Mus musculus: one gene and its partner. The protein of the gene in region 1 binds, or shares a complex with, the protein of each later gene. Links are inferred from orthologs where the notes say so. Each region holds a gene or a part of one and is shown in the gene's direction. Other genes may lie near its edges.

What was found. The genes of interacting proteins can lie anywhere in the genome.
Region 2: the proteins of Ralgapa2 (region 1) and Nkiras1 are in contact, whole or in part, in a crystal structure (PDB 9QU1), measured with the Homo sapiens proteins. The link is inferred for Mus musculus from reciprocal best matches to the Homo sapiens genes RALGAPA2 and NKIRAS1. Residues at the interface, in NP_065076.2 of Homo sapiens: Pro20, Lys21, Tyr51, Ser52, Gln53, Phe56, Tyr59, Glu60, Ile63, Arg99, Phe102, Arg103, Trp104, His105, Tyr106, Gln107, Ser108, Lys185, Ile186, Tyr187, Pro188, Glu189; in NP_001364280.1 of Homo sapiens: Lys6, Glu22, Leu24, Leu25, Tyr26, Glu34, Met39, Glu40, Asp41, Val42, Tyr43, Met44, Ala45, Ser46, Val47, Glu48, Lys54, Gln56, His58, Tyr60, His74, Tyr75, Ser77, Phe78, Lys108, Thr162.

What each region holds. Positions count from the first base shown.
Region 1 is NC_000068.7:146,341,862-146,349,298, reverse strand, and holds part of Ralgapa2 (ral GTPase-activating protein subunit alpha-2), read left to right. Parts: intron 1-740; coding exon 741-851; intron 852-2,114; coding exon 2,115-2,183; intron 2,184-2,452; coding exon 2,453-2,590; intron 2,591-3,729; coding exon 3,730-3,913; intron 3,914-6,549; coding exon 6,550-7,321; intron 7,322-7,437.
Region 2 is NC_000080.6:18,268,131-18,275,667, forward strand, and holds the start of Nkiras1 (NF-kappa-B inhibitor-interacting Ras-like protein 1), read left to right. Parts: upstream 1-3,005; 5' UTR 3,006-3,193; exon of another isoform or gene 3,194-3,277; intron 3,278-7,537. Other genes in the region: Rpl15 (60S ribosomal protein L15), read right to left, coding at 881-1,186, 1,777-1,913, 2,149-2,320. UniProt on the Homo sapiens protein: Atypical Ras-like protein that acts as a potent regulator of NF-kappa-B activity by preventing the degradation of NF-kappa-B inhibitor beta (NFKBIB) by most signals, explaining why NFKBIB is more resistant to degradation.

The sequences.
Region 1 (7,437 bases):
ATACATTTACTATTTCAAAAGGGAGGAATCAGGGCATAGTGAGGAAATAATGGAACCAAAACCCACCAGAAAAAAACCTGCAGATCCTTTATCTCTGTGTGTGATGTCAAAGATAGCTCTGGAAGCAGTTTTACTGACTGAAGCATATATTATTCTTCTTTTCAAGCCACCACAGGCAGCTTTAGGAAACACAGTCAGGGTCATTGAACATGCCCTCCCCCTAAAGTCTGGTTTTATACACTTCTTAGTATGTTACATATCAGTCATTTTATTTCCCCGGGTAGGAAGTCATTTGGTTAATCCCCATTTTACTGTTTGTGAAATGAAGATAGCACCTTCTTCCAGAACTGTCAATGACAATTTATCAATGAATGAGTTATATTTGTGCAGAAGATTCGGCACACAAAGGACACTCAAGCATATACTCTTTTAATTTCCTCAGTTTATCAATAGTGTGATTTATATGAGCTGAATACAGAATTTGAAATTTGGGCTTTAATTTCTAGGCAAACATTGACCACCTTCTTCTATGGAATATATAAAAATGTTAGTGAGTTCAAACAGGCAACAAAATGGAATGGAGTTGTCATGTTCAAAGGATGTTAATTGGACATAGTTTTCTTCAGTTGCATATGAGATATGTATATAGGGCTAGCAAGAGCAATCTGCTCTGTTCTTCCTCCAGAATATACTCCTGCTGAGCTGCTCTGTTAACTTGGGGTTTCGGGTTTCTTTTGTAGTTTCCTAACAAGATCGTGGCTCAGGTAGCCTGTGATGTTCTTCAGTTGTTGGTTTCCTACTGGGAAAAGCTGCAGATGTTTGAAACTGCTCTACCCCGCAAAATGGCAGAAGTAAGTCCTTTATCTATACTGCTAAAGCATCTGCACTTCTTCTTACTAATGTATTTGATATCTAATTAACTGTAGATCCTTGGGTAATTGTTAGAGAAGCAACTATTAAACTGCCATGTGAGCCCAGTTTTCAGGCTGTGTTGGCTGGCTCCTCTCCTCTTCAATTCTAGGCACTGTGCAAAGAAGCCTGCAGTGTTCCAGCCAGAGGCTGGTGCTTGGAGAATTTGAAAGGCAGACACAACCACAACAAAGAGACCTTTTGTAGGTTGGGCTTTATTCATTGAGAGTAATTTGGATGGTGCCAACAAGTAGTAGGCAGCTGGTTTAATGCTTCCTTGCAGGGCGGGGGCCTGGCTGTTGTGTAAAGCAGGAGTTGTTCCCAGACTAAAGCCCTGGGCCACGCTTGCTGCTGTGGCATGGTTACTTGGCAGTAATGAGATCAGTGCAGTATTAATCTCTAAGGGGTAGTGGGCAGGAGAGGGGGCAGGAAGAACAGGAAGTCTCATCTCTACCACAGCTTCTTAAGTCAGCTCCCTCGGAGTAGGGACTAACTCACAGATGCCTGTGACTCGGCACCCCCGCACCTGCCTGTTTTATAAGCACTTCCTTAGGCAAGCTCTATTCTTTGCCCATCCCTTGGAGACTCTGAGGAAATGTGATTTGTCCCCATGAAGGATCTCAGGGAGAGAGAAGAAGTGATACAGATTCATTCCCTCCTACCCGTAGACAGACTTCACTAGTTGGCATCACTGGTTGTCCTCTCAGAATCACATCAAGAGTCACAAGTGGTTTTTGACCTGAAGTGATCTGGAGTGGAATAGACCTTTTACTCTGCTGCGGAGTGTAAAGTTAGGGTTAGGGGCACCTGTAATTATTCAGACAGGACACCTGTGAGAGTGGAGCTCTGTGCTGATTTATAAGATAGCAAATGGGAACCTTTTCATAATTATTTTTAAAACCATTTTTATTTCACTAGAAATGTGGGACTAATAGTTTCACTAGAAACTGTGACTATAGAGAGAACTACCCTTGCCTTGAGGTCTCAGTCCCCCATTAAGGAAGACCATTACATGGCCATAATTTTCAAATCTCTTACAACTGGCTGAGTAAGCAGCAAGCTGTGTTACATTGCAAGGCCATCTAGGGATTCTTAACTTATGGCTTCCAAACTATAACTATAGCTATGTACATTATATAAACTATATAATAACTACATATGAAAACTATAATAAATTGCTTGACTAGGTCTTATCTTTTGTGCAGATTCTTGTGGCCACAATTGCGTTCCTTTTACCAAGTGCAGAGTACTCGTCAGTGGAAACAGATAAAAAGGTAAGTGGCAGGTTAGGTAGCTTTCCCCAGAGTTATTTTTACATATAAGACAGAATGGGAATGACTATTGCTAATGATGGTGTCATTTATAACACCCTTCTATGTTGGCTTTAACATTCTTTCCTATGGAAACCCTTTTGCTCACTAACTTACCCTGTACTTGTGTGTCCATTAAAGACTGAGTATACACAGGGACAATTCTGTTTATTTTCACATGCAGTGGGTCCTAAAGGCCATAATGTAAGTTCTGGATATGTTTCGTCTTCTAGTTTATTGTGTCCTTGCTCCTTTGTCTCTTGGACTGGTGCATGGCGCTGCCCGTGAGTGCCCTCCTCCACCCTGTGTCCACAGCAGTTCTAGAGGAGCTGCACCCATCCCGGGCCCCCTTGCTGGATTATATCTACAGGGTGAGTCTCCCCTAAGCCTTGGGCACAGACTGTAGATCTACAGATTAAAATAACATAATGTTGTACATTTCCTACATTTATATATTTGTGCCTTCTGAAAATGACCTGTGGAAAGTTATGCATTTGGGAAGACATGAATAATTAATGAGTAAGCAGAACTGATACAGCTGTAGAGAATCAGTGGTTGCCAAGGTGAAGATGCACACACTGCACATGACTGTCAGATTTAAGCAACTGCCATGAATCAGAATGCCCCAATCTTCATCACAAGTGACCTGTATCTACTTCGTTTCTAAATGGACTGTTTATGTTATAGCCTATATTATAATATAGGGCCTGCAGCATAAGATTCACAAAGATCTGTTTATCAGACTATGAAGAAACCCATAATGCTTTTAGTAAATAAACCTCAAGAGGCAGGTGTAGTGGTGAATGTTTGTAATCTCAGTGCTTGGGAACATGGAGGCCTGCCTCAAAACCAGAACCAAAACAAAAGTAAAAGAACACAAAGGAAAAAAAAATCCTTAGGATATGAGTTAAGAAGTCTCACTTTAGCCAGGCGTGGTGGCACATGCCTTTAATCTCGGGAGGCAGAGGCAGGTGCATTTCTGAGTTTGAGGCCAGCCTGGTCTACAAAGTGAGTTCCAAGACAGCCAGGGCTGCACAGAGAAACCCTGTCTCAAAAAGACAAAAAAAAAAGTCTCACTTTGTGAGAAGAGACTTTAAAAACTGCATTCAATTTACTTTTATTTATTCCATATAATTCATGGGTTCATGTGTTGTACTGATTTAAACGCAGGTTGTGGTCACCCGGCCCTCTACCATGATGGCTTTCCCATAGCCTTCCTCTCGTTTCCTGGGCTGGCTCCTTCCACCTTGCTGCCTTTGGAGGAAGAAAGCCTGAGGCGTGTGCAGTCACACAGGAACAGAAACAGGCACCTTTCACCTGTGTTTTCCTTTGCCCTGAGCATGTAGATGTTGTCACTGACTTGCTAGTAGCAAAAAGATATTTAAGAATGGAAAGAAGGCCACATTTGGACATGTTCCTAGGAAGGAGCCCTCTCTCCTAAGCAGTGTGGGAGCTAGGCAGAGTTCAGGAAATGCTGGCACACGGAGCCATGCATGTCTGTCCTCCTCAGGTTCTGCACTGCTGTGTCTGTGGCTCCAGCACATACACACAGCAAAGTCACTATACTCTGACCTTGGCTGACCTGTCATCCACGGATTATGACCCCTTCCTACCTCTGGCAAACGTGAGGAACTCCGAGCCAATCCAGTATCATTCATCAGCAGACCTGGGGAACCTGCTGACCGTGGAAGAGGGTGGGTATAACTACAGATATACAATGTTATGTGCAGGAAAAGGTAAGAGTGCAGGCTTGTCTGTGCTTGTGTTTTAGGTTTGTTTTGGATCCAGTGTTGACATTGAAATCCCAGTTTATAGGATCTCTGATAGCAAACTCCCTTCCTTGTTTCTTCCTCTTTTTTCCTGTTATTTTTACTCCTCTCTTTTTTTTCCCATCTTAAATAATGCACATGGTTTTGTGTTGCATACCCATGAAATGCAAAAGGCACATTTTCTATCCCCAAGCAGCTTTCCAGGTAGTGGAGGAGGTAGGACATTGCTGGGCTGGTAGCATCTTCAGGACTTCCCATAGGGAAGGACTTAAACTGGACTCACCAGGGTGGACAGATTTGAAGGAGCTCATAGAGTATCCAGGCGAGGAGCCCCTCATGCAGAAACTTGATAGCAACCCAACCCTGAGACAGACCTCTCTCGTGTACCTTTTGTGGATAGAGATTTAGCAGGCCGTGATCAGGTGAGAGTGCAGGATGTACAGTGTGCCACAAAGTAGGTTCACCCCTATTTTAATGACTTACTTATTAGACCATTACCTGTTCTTGACATAATTACTACTTTTAAATAAAGTTACAAGCAAGATACACAGTCAAGCCATCTGTGATCACATGTGTTCAGATTGCTCATTGTTAATGACTACTTAAAACAGAAGGAAGGGGAGGAGCTTCAGAAGAGGCGAAGCAAAGGATAGCCAGACATTCTAGCTTTGTATTTCCTTCCTCCAGGAATCCAGAAAGAAGAGGGTACTTGGATTGTCTTCTTGTGTAGTAGTTTGTGAGACCCTCAGCTAGTTTTGCCATTGGTAGAATGTAGATCAACTCTGGCTTACAGGGAGTGAGCGCATGGGAAGCCAACTTCACTGAAATGTGCAGGAGGACGTCAATGTTTCCCACATGGCTCAGTACCAGGCCCATTTGGGATTGTATTAGAAGTGTCGTCATGGCATGGTTTACAGTGTGGTTCATAGGGCTCCTGGTCATTTCCCCACTGTAGAATTAAAACATTCACAAAACACAAACCAAAAGCACAGTGTCTGTAAGCAAAAGCAGAGGGGAGTTACTTTCCCCACTTGGTATTTTCCCTTTGTCAGTTTGTACCTTTATCATTAGTTTTGTGCCTACCCTACTGTCATGACGAAAGCGTGTTTCCCTCTATGAACTGTGAACTCCTGGCTGCTTTCCTGTGGGTTTCTAGATAGTAAAATTTCCCAGCTGGAGACCTTTCTTAGTTGTATAGAAATCTTACATATTTCTCTTAGGTTGTGGGGGAAAGTTTAAGTTTAGAATAGATGTAACTGGCCTCTTGTTTCTTTAAAAAACAAAAAGTTTTGTGTGACATTTTCTTTTCCATTATTGGATATAGATTTCATATACATTGAAAAAAATGATAAGAACTCAAAAATTCAAGGTGATCTTGCTCTCCTCACTTCTTACTCAGAATTTCTAAAGTTTCAGAGATTTGTTTCTTTCGAGGATTTTTATACAGCATGAAACAACATGTTATAAGTAAGCCATTGGATAATGTCTAAACCTAGAAGTATTTAGCATGAAGTCATATATTTACAGCGATTTATGTGCTAATTAATATTTGATTTTTTTTCACAGTGTGAGTTTAAAAGCTATTACTTCCTAAAGCTCTAAGATCAAATTATAAACCTTAATTTAAATATGTAGTCCTTTATCCATAAAATTTTTAAAGTTTCATTTTCACTTTTTTAAATTGACTTTTATAACTTTTGCCAGTTGAAGTTTCCTCAACTACTCTCAGCCTGAAGTACTATTTCAATTTCTAGTTATGTTTTAGTGTATCTACCTGTCCGTTATACCTCATTTTATAAAGCCCTAGGACTCATTCTGTTGTCAAAGTCTTTGTATATATTTAAGCTAAAATTTTATAAATCAGTTGCTCTTGATTACTAAATCATGAAATACAAATTCAGTTAAGTTCTTCTAAGTGCCTCCATGGTTTATTAATATGATGAATTTTCTTAAATATTTTTAGTGTTCCAATAACAAAACATAAACTATCACAATGATTACTAAGTATATTGTTTCCAATCTTTTAAAATAGCACCAAGGTTTATTAATATCCTTATCAGGTTTACCTGCAACCAACAGAGTAGGATCCCTAGCCCACTTTCAGATCTCATCCGGGTTTTTACTCTTATCTGAGCCCCTGAACTATTATCTGTCTAACCTGGAAATGCTTCTCTTTGACTTATTCTCATGTCTATAGACTTTTAAAGTCCCTTTCAGAGTGACGTCTTGGTGTAAGTTGGTTCTTTAGCAGTCTGTTTCAACTATGTTTTTATATTCAAATAGAATTAGAGTCAGAAAAGAGAAAAAATCAGTCTCACAGTTAAAACCATTCAGCTGGGTGTGATGGCACACACCTTTAATCCCAGCAGAGGCAGACATAGGTGGATCTATGCTTTACAGGCCAACCTAATCTGCATAGTGAGTTCCAGACCAGCCAGTGCTACTTAGTGGCACCTTGTCACACAAAACAAAACAAAAATAACAATCAGACATTCAAACTAATGACTGAAATTGCGTGGTGCCCCCATTATCTCTTCATGGTTTCTTCCTGCTGTTCACAGAAAAGAAGAGAAGAAGTGTGGAATTGATCCCCCTCACTGCACGAATGGTCATGGCCCACCTAGTGAACCACCTAGGCCACTATCCACTGAGTGGGGGTCCTGCTGTGCTGCACAGCCTGGTCAGTGAGAACCATGACAATGCCCATGTGGAAGGAACTGAGCTGTCCTCGGAGGTGTTCAGGAGCCCAAACCTGCAGCTCTTCGTATTTAATGATAGCACCCTCATCTCCTATCTTCAGACACCAGCAGAAGGACCAGCTGGAGGGACTTCAGGGGGTTCCCTCTCAGATGTGAGAGTCATTGTGAGGGATATCTCAGGGAAGTACTCTTGGGATGGCAAGGTTTTATATGGACCTCTGGAAGGCCGTTTGGCACCCAATGGAAGGAACCCCTCATTTCAGATTTCTGGCTGGCATCATCACACATGTGGACCTCAGAAAGATTTGTTTAACGGTGAGGAGGGAGATGATGTGCTTGACAAGTTACTTGAAAACATTGGCCATACAAGCCCCGAATGCCTTTTACCATCACAACTAAATCTAAATGAGCCTTCCCCAACCCCATGTGCAATGAACTGGGACCAAGAGAAGGCAATCATGGAGGTCATCCTGCGCCAGAGCGCACAGGAAGATGAGTATGTGCAGAGGTGTAACTCGGATTCTTCAGTAACGGTCACCAGCCAAGGGCAGCCCTCACCCGTGGAGCCCCGGGGACCCTTTTATTTCTGCAGGTTGTTGCTTGATGACTTGGGAATGAATTCCTGGGACAGAAGGTAACCAAGCTCTGAATGTTTTATCATTTCTTTTATATGAGGGTTATTTTATTATTATTATTATTATTATTATTATTATTATTATTATCATCAATTTGAGGTTAGAGAATAAGAAA
Region 2 (7,537 bases), on another chromosome or scaffold:
GTCAACATCCAGGCAGTTACCAGCCACTACCCATAGGTAGATTGTAAACGATGAAATAACACTACCAAAATGGACTATTCTTACCCATGATGAATTGACTGGAATAGAGAAAATTTCTCTATATTGTAGGTAGTCCTGGAACCAGAGAGCCATCTGCCTCTGCACACACCAGCTGCTAGAAAAGCTTAATGTCTGCAAGCTTAATCAAACTTATATTTGCTTGGTTGATATTAACTTGCAACCACAACCAAGTTTACAAATCTAATGGAAATAATCTGCCCTAAATAAGCCCTACTACATCCAATGTTCAACCTTCATCTCCAAATCCATACTCTAGATCCAACAGAAAGTGAAACCTCTTCCAACAAATTTACCTGGTCTTCTGAAAATAACACTGGATTCAATTCTCAAAATGTGGGTTATAGTTGATCTCACTTTTCTATGCACAAAACAGGTTTTGAAACCCTCTCTTCCTACACATTTCTAAGCAAAATCCAACTCTATAAAGTTTGTACTCATCAAACTCCCAAGCAGCCACTTCAGTGAACCAAAAGATGCCATCGTAAAGCTGTAGATTCTATCTCATGCACCAACACATCCAGGGTCAGTTTCAGGACTTTTTACCTCTTACAGGGTCTTACACACAGAACACCACTTGGCACAAACACTATATACACTTAATCTCATAAGCAGATAATGCAAAGTACATCAGAAACAAGATATGCCATCACCTGCAGTTTTCAATTATTGCACTTAACTTCTACATTTTCACAGAACACTCATGACAATCTGTAGACTAGTTTTAACAAATAACACCTTTAAGCAGAAATGACTGTCCTAAATTGTTTATTGGATATGAATTTTACAAATATCACGTGTATTAGCGGTAACGGTGGAGCTGGAGAGTATTGCGCCTTCTCCAGGCTGCACGGCGGGAACCACCAATAGTGTGGTGGAACTTGTGGCCCTTTCCAAGGCCACGGCTCTTTCGGCCAGCAGATGTCAGCCCACGCATTTCTCTGTGTTTGTGGACTGGTTTGGTGATCCACTGGGTGTCAGGATTTCTTCTGATAGCTTTATGGAACGGATCAATGAGGATAACCTCAAAAAATTTATATGTGGAATCTTCACCAACCCAGTAGGAATTCAGGACTCTCAAAGCCCCACAATGGCGCCCAGCTCTCTCCTAAAATATGCAGAGAAAGACCAGTCAGTTTCCTGTAAACTAGACAAAAATCCTTCTAACTCTGGGTCATGAGACTGAAGCAGGCCAGGTCCCCACACACCTTAAGAATTAGACTAGCTTAAATGACAGACATGTAGACAAAAGCACATAACTTTTTTTCTCCCTAAAAACCAGACATGAAATTGAGTGCTGTCCTAGTCCCCTTCAGCAATAGGGATCAAGCCCATAACCCTATACATTAATTCAACAAATGAAAAAAAAAGTTCTAGCTTGTGGAAAGGGGGCTCCTACAACCATTTATCAACCTAAGAGTAACTGATCACAGAATATTAGCAATGTAAATAAAACAGAATGGCCCAAAATTTTACAGTCTTCCAAAAGCATAGGGTCTGTAGAAACTAGTCCAGAAACCCAAACCCCTTTCCGCACATCCTCAAGCAAAACAGTAACAATGAGTACCGATAGTGACTAAGTACAAAACAACTCCATCCCCACCTTATACCGAGGGAAACTCCACCGGCTTCCCCGTTTCTTCCTAGCCCACCATTCCTAATGGGTTGTCAAGACAATCGATACTCCCAACAACTCACCTCAGCAACAGACTGAAGGCTTCGGGCAAATTTCAGCTGGTTAACACCATGGTGGACAGGCTTGCCGTAAGTTGCACCCTTAGGAACTGGGCGTTTACGACCACCACGGCGGACACGAATCCTGTAAATGACATAGCCTACACAAACAAACAAAACAACCCAACCACCAATACGTTAGACTAAGTTAAGACTTTCCAATGCTTCCTTTTAATTACAAAGATAGACTATGTAGACTAAAGTATATCTGTAACCTATATCACATTTAGCATAGCTAAATCAGGCAGGTTTTTTGGGGGGGGGGGCACTTCCAAACTGAGGCCCGCCGACTTTTCTGGGAGTGTTATAGACCACCCACATCGTGACCTCACGCACCTTGCTTAGCCTTGTATCCCAGTCTTCGAGCTTTATCAGGCCGGGTGGGGCGGGGAGCCCTGTGCAGCGCAGAGAGCTGGCGGTATTGCCAACAGCGGACCCTCAGAAGAAAGCGCATCACGTCGGACTGCTTCTTCCTCCATAGCTCCTGGATGTACTTGTATGCACCCATCTTGGCTCACCTTTTGAGAGGAAGAAGCAAATCGAAAGAGCGATCGCTGTCAAGGACATTGACTACGGCCTCTCCATCCTTCCTGGAGCCCCACCGTCCACCGGGAATGAGAAGGGCTCTGCAGAGGCAGCAAGGCGCAGGGCCGGCTGGGCGGGACTGACTATTCCATACTCCCGGAGGCCGCCAGAACTGGCAGCAGGGTTATAACCGCCACCGCGAGTAAGACCAGGAGAGCTTCGTCCCACCCGGGCGGCCTGATGAGAGGCAAGCCGAGGCCACGCTTCCATCCCACGCCTCCTTCAGTCCCCGGCCCAGCTCGGATCCTGCCGCCATTGCGTCTCTCAAGCCTCCCGGACGGCGGCGTATTCGTACCCTCTCCACCCCGTATCCTCACTAGGCGCTCGTGCGAGGCAGAAACTCCGAGGCCGTAGGGTCGCCGGGGTCGGATGGCTGAAGACTAGCGCGATTCGCGACGGATAGACACACAAACACCACCCCGCCGCCCTACCTGATGGCTGCCGCCAGAGGAAAGGAAGAAGGCTTTCTCCCACAATCCCTTTTGTGGCTCCTCCTCCCACCCCGGCGACCCTCCTTCCGGTGGGGCATTGTAGCCGCACTGTGCCTCTTGGGGCTTGTAGTCCCGACATCCAACCTGGTGGGCGGAGTCAGGCTGGGACAGCCCGCCGCTTCCGGATGCTCTCCCAAGCTCTCAGCAGTGCTCCTGAGCTGCCAAGGCTGCGGAAAGTGAGAGGCGGCGAGTTTGCTTACGTCACGTCAAGGGGCCGGAGGAAGCAGGTCGGGGACCGGCTCCAGAGGGACGCCTTCGGACCGCGGTGACCTGCGTGCTGCTGTCTCACTGCCCTGCAGTGTCAGGTTGGTGTTTCCACCGGCGCCTCGCTCCGTGATCTCGGAGCACAGTGACCGCAGGACGGCCGTGACTTGGTCGTAGGCGAAGTGGTACGCGTGGACCTTGCGTGTCCTTAAGGCCGGCCAGGGACTTTGGACTTGCGCGAACCAGGCTAGTGGGTGGACTGTGGTGCCCGTCCCCCTCTGAATTTTCCGAGGTGCCCGGGGACTTGATTTTATAGGCGTTTTTAGGATAGCAAATTGTTCATTTGCCATGACCCGTTTCAGGAAGAAATGCTGGCATTCTGCACTGCGTTCTTTATTGAGAAGTAATGGTGTATTGGAGTTTTTGTAGTTCCAGAATTTTCTATTTTCATACAGTTGTGTGGTTTTAATAAACTACGCTTGTTTGTGGCAAAGGTTTTGGGAATCATGTTTACCTTTTCCATCAATCTGTGGCTCTTCTTATCTTTTAGAATAAATGGCAGCTTTAGCATTTTAAGAGTCCTCACCTGTCCTATTTAAAAATTCAACAGATGTATTGCTTAATATGCGTGGAGCTCAGTCTCAGCTGCTGGTGATGCAGCTCAGACAACATACAAGTTCTAGCCTTGGGAGCAAGCGTTAACACTATGCTATGTATTGCTTTTGATGCCAAGTGTAAAGGACACACATTGAAGGAGTGGAGGGGTATTGAGCGGTACAGTGTCTCAGCGTCCTGGCAAGTGGAGCCTGGACGAGGTGGGGTTGGGGTGCGGGGGGGGGGGGGGAGGGGCAGTAACTGACTTTTTTCTCTTTTAAGCACATCTGGTGGAGCTTGCAAGTTAGCATGGAGTGAAGGATATGAATTCTTTTAGGACAGTCTTCAAAAATTTTTTAACGTTTATTTTTAGGCTATGTGTGTTTATTTATGTGTGTTTACTTGGATGTATGTTTGTGCACGACCACCTTTGTACCTGGGGCCCACTGAGGTAGGTGGAAGTGGTTGAAAACTTCCATGTAGGTGCTAGGAACTGAACCCTGGGGGCTCTGCAAGAGCCGCCAGTGTTCTAATTGCTGAGCCTCCTGGATGATTTTTTTTTTTTTAATAATGCTGAAGAATAAATTACAAGTCTGTGAGTGTAGTTCAGTAGTAATGTGTTTCATTGATGTGCAGAGACACCATGACCAGGACAACTTTTATAAAGGAAAACATTTACTTTGGGGCTGGCTTACAGTTTCAGAGGTTTAGTCCATTATTATCATAGCAGGAAACATGGCAGCATGCAGGCAAACATGGTGCTGGAGAAGGAGCTGAGAGCTCTACATCTTGATCTACAGGCAGCAAAGAGAGGTGTGCCTCACTGGGCATAGTTTGAGCATGGTAGATCTCAAAGCCCACCCCCACCCCACAGTGACACTCTTCCTCTAACAAGGCCTTACCTCCTTTTTTTTTTTTTTTTTTTTTTTTCCATTTTTTATTAGGTATTTAGCTCATTTACATTTCCAATGCTATACCAAAAGTCCCCCTTACCCACCCACCCCCACTCCCCTACCCACCCACTCCCCCCCTTTGGCCCTGGCGTTCCCCTGTACCGGGGCACACAAAGTCTGCGTGTCCAATGGGCCTCTCTTTCCAGTGATGGCCGACTAGGCCATCTTTTGATACATATGCAGCTAGAGTCAAGAGCTCAGGGGTACTGGTTAGTTCATAATGTTGTTCCACCTATAGGGTTGAAGATCCCTTTAGCTCCTTGGGTACTTTCTCTAGCTCCTCCATTGGGAGCCCTGTGATCCATCCATTAGCTGACTGTGAGCATCCACTTCTGTGTTTGCTAGGCCCCGGCATAGTCTCACAAGAGACAGCTACATCTGGGTCCTTTCAGTAAAATCTTGCTAGTGTAAGGCCTTACCTCCTAATAGTACCTTTACTCTTTGGGTAAAAGATTGAAACACATGAGTCAGTGGGGCCATACTTATTCAAACCTCCACAATGTGCTTAGTAGTTAGGAATCAGAAACCAAACCTCAAGGTTTTAAGTTGGGGTACAGATCGCTGAGAGGAAGGGTTAAAAGACAATACAGAATACCAGGACTGAAGGGACTCTGGCCAGCTTGAGTGTATTGAGCGTGGCAATGGAAGAAGACCTTGCCTTTCTCTCCCATTCCCTCTGCCTTTCTAAAAACCATTAGATTACATTTCTAAAGCTAGCCACCAAGATCTAGTACCGTATTTGGCCACTTCCTTCTTCTGAGGCTATCAAGACTATCAAGGTCCAGGTATCAAAGTATTGAAGTCAAAAGGCCACTTTGGCTCACCTCATTAACATGCCCAATTAAAATTAAACACCTCATCCTAATACCAGATTATCCCTTATCCCTTTATAAACCACCATTTACCTATGATGTCCAATTCCTCTCTATCCAGAGGCAGTCCTTTGCCTCTTCAGGACAGAGACCCATCCTTCCTCTCCCTTCCTTTCCCCTCCCATCCTTTACCTCCTGACTTTGTCTCTATTCCCTACCCTCTGTTCCTCTGGGGTAAGTAAATCTCCTTTGTGTTAGAACTTGGTCTTGGGGGTCCAACAGACAAAAACAGCAAGCAGTATTCTGGAATCACAGCTAAGGAGCTAGGAAACTACTGAATGATTCTGAGAATGAAAGTTAGATTTTGCTGGGTGTGGTGGCACACGCCTTTAATCCCAGCACTTGGGAGGCAGAGGCAGGTGGATTTCTGAGTTGGAGGCCAGCCTTGTCTACAGAGTGAGTTCCAGGACAGCCAGGGCTACACAGAGAAACCCTGTCTCGAAAAAACCAAAGGAAAAAAGAAAGTAAGTAAGTTAGATTTTAAAATTCTAACTTAGATGGTTTGAGGCTAAAAGAAAAGAGAAAAATGGATTAGAGAGACTAGTGAGGTTATGTTAGTTTCCCTAACAGCAATTACATATTTTAAATTTATGTTTATTTGTGCATTGATGTTTTTTCCTGCATGTATGTCTGAATGAGGGTGCCAGATCCTCTGGAACGGAAGTTACAGATATTGCGGGTCCTCTGGAAGAGTAGCTAGTACTCTAACTGCTGAGCCATCTCTCCAGCCCTAGCAATTACATTTTAAAATTTATTTTTCAGAGATAAAATTTTCTTTCTCTATTTTTGCTATGTAGTTTTAACTGCCCTAGAAACTTTATGTGTAGACTAGGCTAGCCTCATACCTTCAGAGACCCTCCAAGTTAACTCAGGTGAGGATGTTAATGGCTCAAATAAAACACTTATCATTTTACAGTTTGTAGATCAGAAGCATCACTAGGATAAAAATCATGGTGTCAGGAAGAAGAAAATCAGCTCAAGGTCCCCCTGCATCCCTTGGCTCCTGGCTTCCTTCATGTTTTAGTCAGTCAGTCCCTCTCCTCTAAAACTTGACTCATAGACACTTGTGCCCAGATCACAACCCCAGCCTTTGGCTCCGTGTCTCAAGGTTAATCCAGCCACACATGCTGTGATGGTTATTCCCAGCTGTCAGCTTGATTACATCTGGAATGAACTTCAATCCAGGAATGGAGGACATAGCTGTGGTCCAGATCTTGAGGCTGGAAGACACAGGCTTTTGATCCAAATCTTGACATGGAATGACATAGGCTTTTGATCTGAATCTTGAGGCCTAGTGGCTATGAAAAGCTTAGGCCCAGGAAGGTGGTACACACCTTTAATCCCAGGAAACTGAAGCAAGCAGATCTCTGAGTTCAAGTCCAGCCTGAGACAGAGCAAGTTCCAAATAAAGAACAGTTTAGGTCCAGGTTTGGTGGTACACACCTTTATTCTGGGCCGTGCTTTCTGCTGGAGGCCTACACAAGGACATTGAAGAAGGAGGACTCACTCTTTTCCACCTGCTTGCACTTACCTGCCAGCACACCTGTTGGAGTCTACTTCATGATTCCAGCTTATACAGAAGACCAGCTGAAATACCCACCTTCGTGAGGCTGAGCAACTTCTAGATTCTTTTTTTTTTTTTTTTTTTTTAAATTTATTTATTATATGTAAGTACACTGTAGCTGTCCTCAGACACTCCAGAAGAGGGAGTCAGATCTCGTTAAGGATGGTTGTGAGCCACCATGTGGTTGCTGGGATTTGAACTCCTGACCTTCGGAAGAGCAGTCGGGTGCTCTTACCCACTGAGCCATCTCACCAGCCCAACTTCTAGATTCTTGAACTTCCCATTCACAGCTGCTCATTGTTGACTTAGTTGGGCTGCAGATTGTAAGACATTCCTAGAATTTCCCTTAATACATAGAGACATTCTATAAGTTCTGATTCTGGAGAACATTGACAGGCAAAATTCCTCTTAAAGTAAATTCTCAAAAAAGTTTCCAGGGTTAATTTGGGAGCATCGTTGGAA